3 linked regions of the Cricetulus griseus genome follow. The protein of the gene in region 3 interacts with the protein of the main gene of each other region in a pairwise test. Links are inferred from orthologs where the notes say so. Each region holds a gene or a part of one and is shown on either strand. Other genes may lie near its edges.

The links.
Region 1: the proteins of Lin7a (region 3) and Mpp5 interact in binary tests that used the Homo sapiens proteins (3 or more experiments, as listed by UniProt). The two-hybrid records come from large-scale screens. The link is inferred for Cricetulus griseus from reciprocal best matches to the Homo sapiens genes LIN7A and PALS1.
Region 2: the proteins of Lin7a (region 3) and Mpp2 interact in binary tests that used the Homo sapiens proteins (3 or more experiments, as listed by UniProt). The two-hybrid records come from large-scale screens. The link is inferred for Cricetulus griseus from reciprocal best matches to the Homo sapiens genes LIN7A and MPP2.

What each region holds. Positions count from the first base shown.
Region 1 is NC_048598.1:124,804,072-124,808,138, forward strand, and holds part of Mpp5 (MAGUK p55 subfamily member 5), read right to left. Parts: intron 1,845-4,067; coding exon 1,668-1,844; 3' UTR 1-1,667. UniProt on the Homo sapiens protein: Plays a role in tight junction biogenesis and in the establishment of cell polarity in epithelial cells.
Region 2 is NC_048600.1:116,034,531-116,038,971, reverse strand, and holds the end of Mpp2 (MAGUK p55 subfamily member 2), read right to left. Parts: coding exon of another isoform or gene 4,411-4,441; coding exon 4,279-4,410; intron 4,167-4,278; coding exon 4,061-4,166; intron 3,976-4,060; coding exon 3,907-3,975; intron 3,682-3,906; coding exon 3,520-3,681; intron 2,752-3,519; coding exon 2,549-2,751; intron 2,207-2,548; coding exon 2,078-2,206; intron 1,125-2,077; coding exon 948-1,124; downstream 1-947. UniProt on the Homo sapiens protein: Postsynaptic MAGUK scaffold protein that links CADM1 cell adhesion molecules to core components of the postsynaptic density. In CA1 pyramidal neurons, required for synaptic KCNN2-containing channel function and long-term potentiation expression.
Region 3 is NW_023276806.1:147,813,413-147,818,105, reverse strand, and holds the start of Lin7a (protein lin-7 homolog A), read left to right. Parts: upstream 1-1,504; coding exon 1,505-1,586; intron 1,587-4,693. UniProt on the Homo sapiens protein: Plays a role in establishing and maintaining the asymmetric distribution of channels and receptors at the plasma membrane of polarized cells.

The sequences.
Region 1 (4,067 bases), on a different chromosome or scaffold from region 3:
TTGACCCAAGTACATTCCTTTTTTCCTAAGGAAAATTGTTTTTAAAATGTTTCTAAATAGACACACTTGCCAGCCAACTACAAAAGCCATGCAAAAACTGAACATAAAAAGATATCACAAACTCTAATTTGTTTCAGTAAGATTATCTAGAAGAGAAATCAGACACATAAACGTCACTGACAAGACATTAACAGCTGCTTATGCTAAGTCACAATTCAGTATCATTCCAGTGTTTAGCTTTGGGAACATGAAATGCTGTAGCTAATTAAGATCAAGACATTCACATTTGAGGTTCGTTGTTACACATTACAGTTTCCTTAAAGGCTTGAAAAGACTACAAGTTAACTTGCATGCAGACTTGTAGACTCTGCATTTAAAGCTGTAGTTGTAGAAACGGTACAAAAATTGTATTAGTGCCAACATTTAAGATTTAGCAAGCTGTTGTACTCCGGTCCCAAGGTAGACCATGTTAGGACAAAAACTTGTCTGTAGATGCTTAAATAAACTTTCCTCCATTGTCATTTTCTAAATGCTCAATGACTCTTAAGTCTTCCTTCTGATCTTAAAGTTGATTGTCATGGTATTCCCTCAGTGTATATGTGTATAGAAATTTGTTCCAATGCTGAAGACAGCTATTTATTAGTCTATTAAATATCAGTATACAGTACAGCAGATTTCCAGTTTGATACTTACATACGTAGCAGTCATAGATAAAATTCTGTACTCTGATTAAAAAATGCAGAAACTGTCAAATGTGGTCATCTTTCCATGGAAATAAAAACTATTTCCATCACAAGGAAGAAATTTCAAAAGTCAACACAGTTCATACTATCACAATTTACTAAAAGAATTAGAAAATTCTATCTTTAAAAATGTCAGCATCTTTTGTACACTTTTAACCACACTAGAGGCTGCTGAGGGCATTCTCATCCATGAAGTCCGAACTAAAAAGTTGGTTCTTTTTTTTATTTTTATTTTTTTAAGACAGGGTTTCTCTGTGTAACCCTGGTGGTACTACAACTCAGAGGTCCACCTGCCTCTGCCTCCTGAATGCTGGGATTTAAAGGCATGCCCTGCCAGGCCCAGCAAAGTTGGAACTTCTGATGGAATGTTTTTTCAGAATGAAAAGACATACAAATTTACACTTTAAAAAAGTCACTTCCAAACTAAAGCGGCACTTTTTTCCCAAGAAAACTAAATCAATTGTTTAAGAAAATACTGTTATTCCCAGTGCACAGAAGCACAGCCCCTTCTCCCAATAATCGCACAAAGTCATTTAAGTGTTAAATAATGTTAATATTTATAACTCTGTGAGACATGGAGTATTATGTATATACATACATGTTTTTTCATTGACATCTGACTGAGAGGCAAAGAGTTGGGAAGGTGAAAACAAAAGGTTTCTCCAGGATAAATCAGAAATGCTCTGAAGAAAGTTCCCATTTTAAATCTCCAAACAAGCCAAGGATCCCTAAAGCCATGCCCAGAAAACAAGTTTTGTATACAAACCTCCTAAGGGACCTTTCTCACTAGTTTGGGATCTACAAATAGGTGAGCTGCTTATTCTGCCTCCTTCAACCTTATTCTCAGCATTGAGGCCATCTTCCTGTTGGTGGTTTGCCAAATAAAGTTCAACATGATGACATGGGATAAAACAGCTGTTTCCTTCACCTTAGCCAAGTAGATGGCACCCACTGAGGTTCAGTGTCCAGTTTGTTAATGAGCCTAAGCAATTCTTGATAGGCTTTATCAAGATCTGAATTCACAATTGCAGTGTCAAAGTAGTGGCCATTGTTTTGTTCCATCTCTCTAGTCTTCTCAATGATCTCCCTTAACTCTTCAGGCTGCAATGAAAAAAATAAAAACTGTGAGGTCATACAGAATACAGAATGAGTCAGGAGTGTCACTACATGGCTTTCCTTTTGTCTGTGGTAGACCCAAGAGCTGCCTGGGCCACCTTGGCATCAGTACTTTAGAATTCCTGTTTGAATCCTGGTTTATATCACTTCATGTATTTCCATTTTTAGGTTTGAAGAACATGGGCGATTACTCTGAATTCCCTAAACATGTTCATTTTCAAACATTTTATGACATAATAACCTGTATCCAAAAGTAACATTGGCGGCTGGAGAGATGGTTCAACAGTTAAGAGCACTACTTGTTCCTGCAGAGGACCCAGACTCAGGTCTCATATGACATTTCAAAACCATGGGTAGCTCTGTTGTCCCTTCTGACCTCGTAGGGGACCATAGGCATCCGATACAGACATAAATGCAGGCAAAACACCCATACACGTAAAAAATAATAAATCTTTAAAAAAAATAGCAACAACGTGTATAATATGGAGTCCAACTTTAAGACTAGAGTAAGTGCTCTAAAACATTCTTTACTCGAGCACTTGCTTCTGCTGGGCTTGCTGGCACACACCTTTAATCTCAGCATTATGGAGCAGAGAAGGGTGCGTTTGAGGGCAGCCTGGTCTACATAGTTCCAAACCACCCAGGGCTAAAGAGTGAGACCTTTTCTCAAAGACAACAACAAAAATGCCTTTATGTGTGTGGCAAATTTAGGTAGAATTAACATTATGGGAGAAGAAAAATATTAATATATTGAGTTATCTTTTGCTAAGAAAATCTAATAACACTGGGGGAGGTATTCCACTTAATACACTTTAAAACTCAGTTTTCAATGTACAAAAGATACTTTTTTCTTTTCTTTCTGAGACAGGATCTGGCTGTGTATCCCCAGGCTGGCCTTGAACTCTTTGCTACATCTAGTGCGGGATAACAAGTGTATACCACCACTCTGGGCTCTCCTAAGGAAAACTGTCCTTAACTTTTTTTCTTTTCCTTTTTCTGATGCAGTGTTTCTCTACATGGTCTGGTTATCCTAAAATTTCCTATGCAGACTAGGCGGGTATGGAACTCACAGACATCCACTTACCTTTGCCTCCTGAGTGCTAGTATTAAAGGTGTGTGATGTCAAGACTGGCCCTACAAAGGACAGTTTAAGATGCAAGAGTATCCCACCAGAGTCTGGGGAATAATATAAAATGGGCTACTTTAAAATGCTGAGTAAAGGAAATGATATTTAATGGAAACAAGCCAGTGACAAGGCTATCAGCAAAAATTATCCAGAATCCTATAATAATCAGGCTCACGGTCAAGAAATGAAAACTACCCCAAACCACACTTATCAGACAAGATGGCTAATAAACTTCAGGCCAAATGTTGAAGTCACACATCACTGTATTGGGCCCACAAAATGACTTCCACTTAACTGTAACAGGAAACAGTAAAATCATGGCAACTCTTCCACATCTGATTTCCATTTTGAAATGCTGTGATTGGGTACCCAAGATGCTTTGTTCACAGCAGACTTTATCATCATAACACAACACTATGACATTTTTATAAAACTTGTGTATTCAAAGTTTGAGATTAGTTGTTAACAAACTAAAGCATTACTTCATCTTTTACAGCATTTACTACATTATATCTGAATTTCTTGTTCAAATTATAGACCATGATTAGATAAAATGTTTTGCCTAAAAATTTTATGAACTAAAAAAATTAACTTCTCATCAAAACCTGTCATCTATCACTTCATATCATCTACTCTTAAAGTCCCCTCCCCAAATCTAGGATAGATTCCACAACCAAGAGTACAAGGCACTCACTAATGGTAAGTAACACCGTTACTACTAAGATTGGTGTTTACCTACTAGTTATATCATGTGATAAAGTAACACAAGACTGGTCTACATAGTTTCAAGTCACCAAGGGCTTCACCATGAGACCCTGTCTGGAAGATAACACGCATACATAGAAAATACATACATACAAATGTAAGTGAAATATACCGCCCTCTAGCCAACAAGAGCCGAGCAGACACTTTTACAAGTGTGCATGGACATTAAGAGTGGGTGGTGGACCATAAAAGAAAATTCAATACATTTCAAAAGATTAACATCCCTTGGGATCCATTCTCTGGTAATGATGGAACTGTACTTCAGTAATGTATTCTTTAAAATCACCAAATAGGTGAAAATTAACATTTCTAAATAA
Region 2 (4,441 bases), on a different chromosome or scaffold from region 3:
GTGCCAATGGTATCCCCTGGAGTTGTGTGGCAAGTGCTGCTAAAGCTAATCTGTCTGTTTCCAAGCCCAGACTTCCAGTCTCCCCACCCCCTCCTCAGGCCCAATGAGGTCAGCCCTAATGCCAGGAGGCCACCTAGATCTATCTAGAGAAAAGCTTGAAGGGAACAAAGTCTGGTGTGGGCTGTGGAGCCTGGAATACTTTTGGTTCCAGCAACGAAGGGTTCAGCGCTCTGGGCCTTATTCCCAACCTGGGGCTAAGCCTACTGCCACTGCCAGTTGCACTGTTTGGGGAGCAGGGCTTATAAAAGAGGGACACATTAAGAAAGTCTGTGGAGAGACTTTGGCAGTGAGAAGCTAGGAATAAGGGAGGGACCAGGCTATGTTTGCTCCGAGGAGCTGAGACCGGTCACCAGCTACAACAACTGGCTCTCGACGGGGCTCCCCCAGCATCTAAAATGGTCCAGACTAACACTACTGCCCAGGTCTGCCCAGCTACCAGTGTCTTAGTACCTGGCCACATGAGAACAGCCCACAGCTGTTCCAAGGACTATAGTAAGGAGTGAGAGGAGCCAGGGAACAGGGTGGGTGTGGCCAGCCCAGAGGAGAAAAGGCTGGCAGGGTCCTAGACCTACTGACCACAAGGCCCCAGCAGCTCTGCTCATCCCTGGTCTGAGCATTACAGGAGTGATTCTGAGCTGTTCCTGGACACAGCATGGTCCATACAGAGGGATGTCTGGTGGCCAGTGGACATCGGGAGTGGGCAGCACCTGGGTACAGAGGTACCCTATGAACACCTACCTCCCTGGCAGTGCACACCTCTGTACTGAAGCCTGCTGGGAACTGAGATCCAGGGAAAACCAGAGATGGGGGGTGAAGATCGTTATCAGGGTAGGGGAGTGTCACAGGTGGGGTGAAGGATGGATTCCCCACCAGGCAGGGAACGAGGCTCAGTACACCCAGCTGACGGGCACCCACTGGGGCTCTGTTCGAAGCTTCTCCATGGCAGCCTGGAGCTCACGGAAGGTCCTCTCGAGGTTGCTGTTGACCAGGCTGAGGTCGAAGTAGTGGCCATATCCCCTCTGGATTCGGCTGCTCTCTTCCACTGTCCGTCTCAGATCTGCCTCCTGTTCGGCACAAGGGGCTTCAGTCAGTGTCTCCAGCTTGATTCCATCACTAGAGAAATCTACAACCTGCCTACCTCACCCCCAAAGCCCAGCCACAGAGTAGAGATTCCCTTGTGCCTCACAAGGCTGTGCTTCTGCACCCAGCCAGGATGGATGGATGGATGGACGGATGGGAGGAAGGAAGGAAAGAAGGAAGGAAGGAGGGAAGGAGGGAAGGAGGGAGGAAAAGATGCTGTAACACATAGAGCACTAACCGTTAAGCCACCCATGGGTTCTTCACTACAGCTCCAATAATAACACAAAGCTCCCATACAAAGAGGTCACAGTGAGCCGATGGCTCGGGGATCTGCCTGACTCCTGCCAGTGCATCCTTTAGTCTGACCAAGTCCCTTGCTATAGCTTTGAGGTGGCATCAGAACTTACCTGGTACCAGGATGATGCCACAAATGAACAAACTAATTCCCACCCCAGACCTAAAGGAGGCTTGCTGGGAAGGAAGTGGACATCAGGCATAATGGACATCTGAGGGCAGCCATGTCCCAGAGGCTCTGGGTGCATCTGTTGCCAGGGCCATGGCACCCAGAGTTGACATCAGAGGATGCAAGCCCAACCTAGACCACCTCTGTGGAGCAGAGGAGCTGTAGTAACAAGAGTGGGGCAGGGGGAGCCTTGAGCTCAGAGCTGGGCAAACCCTACTCCTGGGGGAATGCTGTGCCAACATTCAAGTTTCCTCTAGAAGCTTCCGCTGGCCATCCCTGTCCTGCAGATCTTCTACTGGCCATGCGTAGTAGGCCTAGAGTCAAAGTTCTGTGTCCCTGGCTCTGTCTGAGAGGCAGGGCACTGCATTCCTCTCTCAGGCCTTCCTCTCTTCAGATACACAAATCACTGACTCTCTGGGCTCCACCACCCCAGGCAACCACCCAGCCCTCCCACCGCTACTCAGATCCACTCACCGTCAGCTGTTTAGTGGACACTCCGCTCTCCAGTGCAGCCCGGTTCATGGCTCGCAGGGTCTCAAAGTCAGGGGCCTCAATGAATACCACATAAGGGACAAACTCGGCTGTCCTCAGGACCTTCACCGCCTGCAGGGAAAGAGTAGGCTGGGAGAACACCTTTATATGGGCTAGGAACAGGAAGGATATGGGGTGACAGGGTGGGCACCTGAGAGTGGGTGCTTGGGGTGCTTGGGGTTCTGGGACCTGGGTCATGAGAATGACAAGTAGCGGGCAGGCGGCTGGAGACTAACTGAAGGAGGCTAGGGCGGGGGGTGGAGGGGTGGGGGGGTCTGGGGATCTGGAAAAGGGCTGGGTCCTTAGCAGTAGTCGAGGGGTACATGAACCCTAGGAGACATACAGGGGTTGCTGAGGGGAGCAGAGTGTGGTAGAGGACACTGACAAACATGAAAGGGAAGGGCTAGACAGTACCTGGGGGTTGACATCCAGCACGCACACCTTGCCGGAGGCAACCACGCCCCGGATGGAGTCGATACGTGTGCCATACAGGTTGCCCTCATACTCGCCATGTTCCAGGTAGCGCCCAGCGCGAATGTCAGACTCCATCTCCCCACGAGACACAAAGCTGTACGCCTGCCCTTCCCTCTCTGTGTCCTTGGGCCTCCGGGATGTGTCTGGAGGGGAAGCACGGATAACCGGTGAGTCAGCCACCCCACCTCAGATATGGGTATGTGGGTTCTGTGTGGGGTGCAAGAACTCAGCTCTGGAGACAACATAGCCTGCTCTCGGTCTTCTCAGAACCTCGTGTCTTCATACACACCTATTCTCACCTTCTCCACGGGCATACGCGCGCGCGCACACACACACACACACACACACACACACACACAATGCACGCGACACACTTGTCTGGGAGGACCTTCGGGGAACAGCTTGCCCGATGCCATGTACACTGATGCTAGCAGAGGCTCAGGGAGGGCGATGAGCAGCCCAAAGCCACATTGCAAGGGTCAAGAAATCTGGGCTTAGCGTTCTTGCTCCTGCCTCCAGCAACCATCACCACCTTCACCTCCTGTGGTCCCAACACTTAGATTAGAAGCCCTGTCTGCCACAGGCCACACACAGCTCAAACCTGTCTCGCCAGACATCATGGTAGACACTCACTTTTTTTTTTTTTTAACCCTTTTTTGCAAGTAAAACTTGAGAGGAGAAATCCTGAAATAAAGCCAGCCCCCTTTCACCGAATCATGAGCCTGCAGTTCCCCTTATTCACCCACAGAGGGCGCACACAGCTCTCCCCGCCAAAGGAACCACCTTGACCTGGTGTCCCTGAAGAAGCTCGCTCAGTTCTGCTCAGTGCTGCTCAGCAACCCTCCACCACCATCCCTCCGTTCTCCTCTCCCATCCACGCTCGCACCTCCCGCTCCCTGGCCCCCACTCACAGGGCACTGTGGTGCCGTAGCGGTCTGGATCCCACAGAATGAGCTTGTTTTTCAGGCTGCGCCGGCCCACACCCTGCGCGCCAATCAGCACCAGGGTTTTCCGGCGGAATGGGGGCATGCGGGCCACCTCCTCATAAATGAGCAGCTCGTGGCGGTCAAACTCTGGGCACAGAGAGATGGCACTGTTCACCAGGCTGCCCCGTGGGGGAGGAAAGGGGCTCTCAGAATGCATTAAGGGTAAGTGTGCTTGAGGCCTGGGAAACAGAGGAATTGGGCAAGCCTAGGAACGAGGCTGGCAGTATCTGAGGCAGAGTAGACCCACAGGTCACTTGTGAGGAAGAGAGAGATACGACATATTAGACAACTTGGACAGGAATTAATACCCACCTGCATTCTTGGTAGTCAAATACATCATTCGCTTCTTTTTCTTTCCTGAAAGGCTGCCACATAGGGTCCCTGGCCACAAGGAAACAAGCGAGTGAGCAAACTGGGCCATGCCAGGTCTTAAATTGGGGCCTGAGGTGGGGAAGGGGGCTCCTACCTGAGGTCGGGGTCAGCTCCAGGTCCCGCTTCACAAATGCTTTCCGCTTCTCCTCCAGCAACTGGCTGGGTATGAGACCAGCACTGCCCCCTTCTACGTGGCATGCCTGAAACGGCACACGCCAAAGACCTACCTGGGTAAGAGGGCCATTCCCGGCACCCCGCCTCTTCTGCCGCACTACGGTACTTGGAGACACTGTAGGAGTGCCCAGGGCTCACCTGCCACCAATTGGCGTCATCTTGGTTTACAATCTGGAGCAAGTCCCCAGCGTTGAAGCGAAGGCCTGCTTCCTTGCAGGGGATGAGGCTGTCTCGGGCAGGGTCATAATCGAAGTGGCATTTAACAAATACCTGAGCCCCAGGGATTTGGGAAGAGTCAAGG
Region 3 (4,693 bases):
TAACATGCTCAGTCCATATGATGTTACTAGCATGCTTATAATTTGGGAGCACATCCCTTTTGACAGGCCCATCAACAGCTCATCAATTGCAGAATAGACTCAGTTTCCTCTGATTACCAGGTCACTGTAATTGGTCCCCTTGTTTGGCAGGTAAGGAGACTGGGGATTACAAGAGCCTGTGAGTTTGGCAGATAATATGCGTGATTAAGAGTTGAATTTCATGATCAAATTTCTTCCTCAAATCACACCCTCTGTGTGTCACTAAGGACTTGGTGAATGGATAGATAGCCAATCATCTTCCACTATTTCAATCAAGTCTACTGCTTTCTCTTTATTTAATTAGAAGAACATCACATCGATTATAAGCAAATACTTTTTTGTAACCCATCACCCTCTAGGAGTGTCTTGGTAGTCACCAGAATTATTTAACTGTCATAGGGATGAAGAGAAAGCATTGTCACCCAGGTGCTGTTCCCATTATTCCCAGAGGAGGTTTACCCATGCTTCCTCATGGTTTGATAAGGAGATAAGGCTTGGTGGAAATTTAGTGAAAGTTGGGATTAAAGGGTTCACAGTCAGTATTTGAAGGCTCCAGTAACTGAATCCTGGTCAACTGACTCTCAAATAAGCCCTTTAATATTATCCTAGCCTAATCCAGAAGCTACAGGGAATGAATGAACCTAGAATGTAGTAAATGGCATATAATACTCTTTTTTCAATTCTTGTCACATATGCTAATTAATCAATAAGTAACACCCCTGAATACATGCTTCTTCTAGATTAATGTGGAAAGGTCCTAGATATTTTTCAATGACAGAAGCCCCTTTCTAATTTTAAAACATTATAAGGAAGTTGCTTGTAAAGGCAAATTATTTCCTAAACAATATACCCAGCTCCTAAATGAACACTTACCTATGGAAACCTGACCTTCTGTCAGTTACCTCGTACTGTTAGGAGTGGACATTCTAAGAAAGCTTTCAACAGAAATTAACAGCAACTACAATGATAGAGCACCACCTCCCATTGCCAGAGGCGTTTTCTTTCTAAAGGGATGTGGGATTAATAGGCTGAAATTTTCCTTACTCTAAAAATAAATAAATGAATAAATAAATAAATAAACCTCTGTCCCCAACTCTCTTCTGTTTTCGTGTCCTCTGTGTACAAGTGCATTCTGACCATTACGCTTGGGTGGAAAGTTGAAAGACAGCTAACCAGCTACACCCAGCCAGAGCTCATGGGTGGAGGAGCAAAGTTCTAGGGCTGAGCTTTCCTTTCTCAGCGCCTGGCCATGCAGGCGCTCGTGGATATCTGCCCTGCTCGGCGCTGCGTCTGAAGATTCGCCTCAGCAGAACAGTTGAGTCTCCCATTTGGCTACCAACCCACCCGAGCTTTCTTCTCCTCCATCGCCACCTTCCTGCCTCCCCCACCTCCCCCTCCTTTCCGTCTTCCCTCTCCACCCCCGCCCCCAATCTCCTCCTCTTTTTCTCACTACAAGCGGTTGCTGATGCTGAAGCTGAGCGTCACTTCGGCTCCCACGGCAGACATGGCGACATTGACAGTGGTCCAGCCGCTTACTCTGGACAGAGGTAAGGGAGCGGCTGGTCCATCAGGCCACTGAGTCCGCACTGCTTTTCCCTTCCGCCCTGCCCAGTCCCACTGGGACAGCAGGATGCGCTCGGCCAGGGGCAGCTGGGCGAGGAGATCAGCCCAGGAGGCTTTCGCGCCTGGAGCAGGACACTTTCTCTCCTCGCCTGGTTCCTGCCGCTTCTTCTCATTGCGCTCGCCGGGGCGTGGATGCCTAGCCAGGGCTCCAATGCTCCAGCCGCCAGACCTAGTCCCTCGCTGGGTCGCCTCCCGGCCCCGGCTTTGTTGGAGAGGTTCTGTGGGAACCGCTGAGCGCTGGTGACTGGAGGCTGGAGAGGGGCAGAGAAAGCTCTCCCAGTCAGAGCAGCGAAGGGACTAGTGGGGAAGCCAGCTAACAACTGCCGGCCCAGAGACCCGGAGGGAGGAAGTTTGTCCCTGTGATGGAGACAGGCTCTATGCAGCTGCGGTGACTGGGAGATCGCCCCGGAGCGGTAGTGCATTTGGCAGGGTAGCTGGGTGCACCGCTGCTGGGCTGCCCAAGCCAGGGCGCTGCCCTCGGGCGAAAGGGCAGAGCGGAATCCGGTTAGCTTAGCTGGCTAGGGAACGCCACATCACGGAGGCGAGCTGGCTTGGCTTCAGCTCCCTGTCCGGAGCTGCTGCTTGGGTCGCTGGGTCTCGGTGCTCCCTTCGCCTGCAGTTCCAGGGCGGTAGCAACTCCTGTCTCCTGCTCCAAACCAACCTTTTTCTTTACCAGACAAGTGCACCTCCGTGCCTGGGCTGCAGACAGAACAGGGACAAAGCGCAGGCTGGGTAACAGTTTAAGTTCTATCCTGTGACCTGTGCGTCCTACTCTTTGGCTGCATGGGAAACAGCCAGCGTTTGCTACCTCCTCAAACCTTCCCAAGCCTGGATACTGGTTTCTCCTCTAGGATCTGGGCCTGCCTAGTGCACCCAAATGGTTCCTGTGAGTAGGAGTTTCCTTTCTCCCTTCCCACGTCCAGGTACTAGGGCTCCAGAGTCCCTGCTCTGCAGAAAGAGGGCACCTCTAGCTCCTGTCCTCAGCCGCAGGGCTTAGGACCCTGGGCAGACATTTGAAAATGCTGTGCTCAGAAGAAAATGATTTAGTCCTTGTCCCTCTAAAATTTCTCTTTCGGGGGGATTAAACTAGCAGGGCCCAGCAAGGCAAAAAAAGCATCCTGCTGGGGAGCATAGTGGCAAAGCTGGTAAACTCTGTTTGTGGTTCTTAATTTGGAGAGATCTTTGGTGACTTTAACTCAATCTGCTAGTGCCAGAACAGATATTATGTGGTGCCCATAGCAACCTTACCTGGGGTAAGAGAAGAAAAATAACTGATTTTTATATTGAGAAATGTTCATTTACAAACTCGCAAATTAGTAACAGTAAAAAGCTCAGAAACCTGTCATATAATCTATGGTTTTACCCCCAATATCATCCGTACTAAGCAGGATAATTCCATTGCTGATAAGAGCCAAGCAGATGGCAAGCTATTAAAAACGATGGGCTTCCCAAGTATTTCTGTTTTAATGTGATGAGCTCTTATATTGTCCCATTACTAAATTACTGTCATCAACCATCCCAAGTTTAACTCTGTTAAACATCCCAAGTTCTAACTACGTTAGAAAAGCAATCACTCCAAGAAGACCACATAACCAAGGAAGTTTATATCCCACTACGGCTATTTCTAATACAATTATCACACTTCGGGAAACAGGGTATCTTATCCTTTAGGTGCCCCAGCCAATTGTTAGAGGAGGTATTAAGCAGACAGAGATGAAAAGCACATTCTTGTTTCTATTCAGATGGTACATGGCAGTACTCCAGACAGTAACCCAGGAAGCAAAGCTAGGTTAACTATGTGAATATCTGAATTAATGAACCCTCTACCCTTACTGGCTTGGGCTGCTTGATGAGTGAGAAGACTATCAATAAAGTACCTTCCCTCTACTTCATTGTGATGGTACCTTAGTATGATCCAGTAGGTAATTTTATGATTCAAATTGATGGAATGTGGAATTCTAAACTTTGCCCTTGAAAAGGGCTTAACTCAGTTGGTCATTAGGAATTTGGGGTTGATGATTCAATATTGTGCAGTTTTACCCTAACTTAGGTTCCCGTGTTTGGCCACCTACTGGAGAGTAGATCACACCAAGCTCCAGGGTCCCATTTGGTACACTATAGATTTGCCCTCCCAAAGCCTTTATAAGTGGTTGCTACTTTTGTCTCCCCAATGGGTGTAGCTCCTTGAGAGATGAGGCGATTTCTGAACCTATCTTTGAATTCCTCATAGTCCCATATTTGTGGTGGGAATCTAAAATTAATGTAAATTAGTGTTAGTGAAGCAAAGCCTGAAGTAAACCAAGAACTATTGATTATAGGGATGTCATACCAAACCGAGATACAGCTGGTGTGAAATGCAGTCACAGCCCTGCAGAGCTAGCAAGGTTGGTAGAGCACACATAGGGAAGTTGTTAGGAACCTTTCCCCTGTTCACTCATGCATTTCTGTCAGCAACAGTTGCTTACTAAGGCTTTGCCTTTTATTGATTTTATTTTCAAGATCTGGTTTCTCTGAGTAGTCCTGACTGTCCTGGAAGTTGCTTTATAGAACAGGCTGGCCTTGAACTGGCAAATCTGCCTGCCTCAGCCTCCTGAGTGCTGGAATTAAAAATGTGTACCATCAGGCACCAGGCAGGATGTCAGCTGGTGAACAACACAGAAGAAGGAAATAAGACTCTTGTCAGGGACAACCAAGTATATCTCAGCAAATCGTAAGACACATGCTATGATTTTAGGGCTCCTGGTTCATTTCTAGTGTTTTCATTCATTCAAATATAAAACACAAAAGAAATGAAGAAAGATGGTTTGGTTTTAAGGCTATACCTCCTCTAAATAGTAGATTTAATTCTTGCTTAGTGTCCTACAACAGCATTATACAAATATACATACATACATAAGGCATGGGTGTGTGCACGCGCACGCGCGCGCGCGCGCACACACACACACACACACACACACACACACACACACACACACACACACAAACTGAATCTCTTCAGGAAAAGTTTTTAAGGAAACAAACCAATGCTACA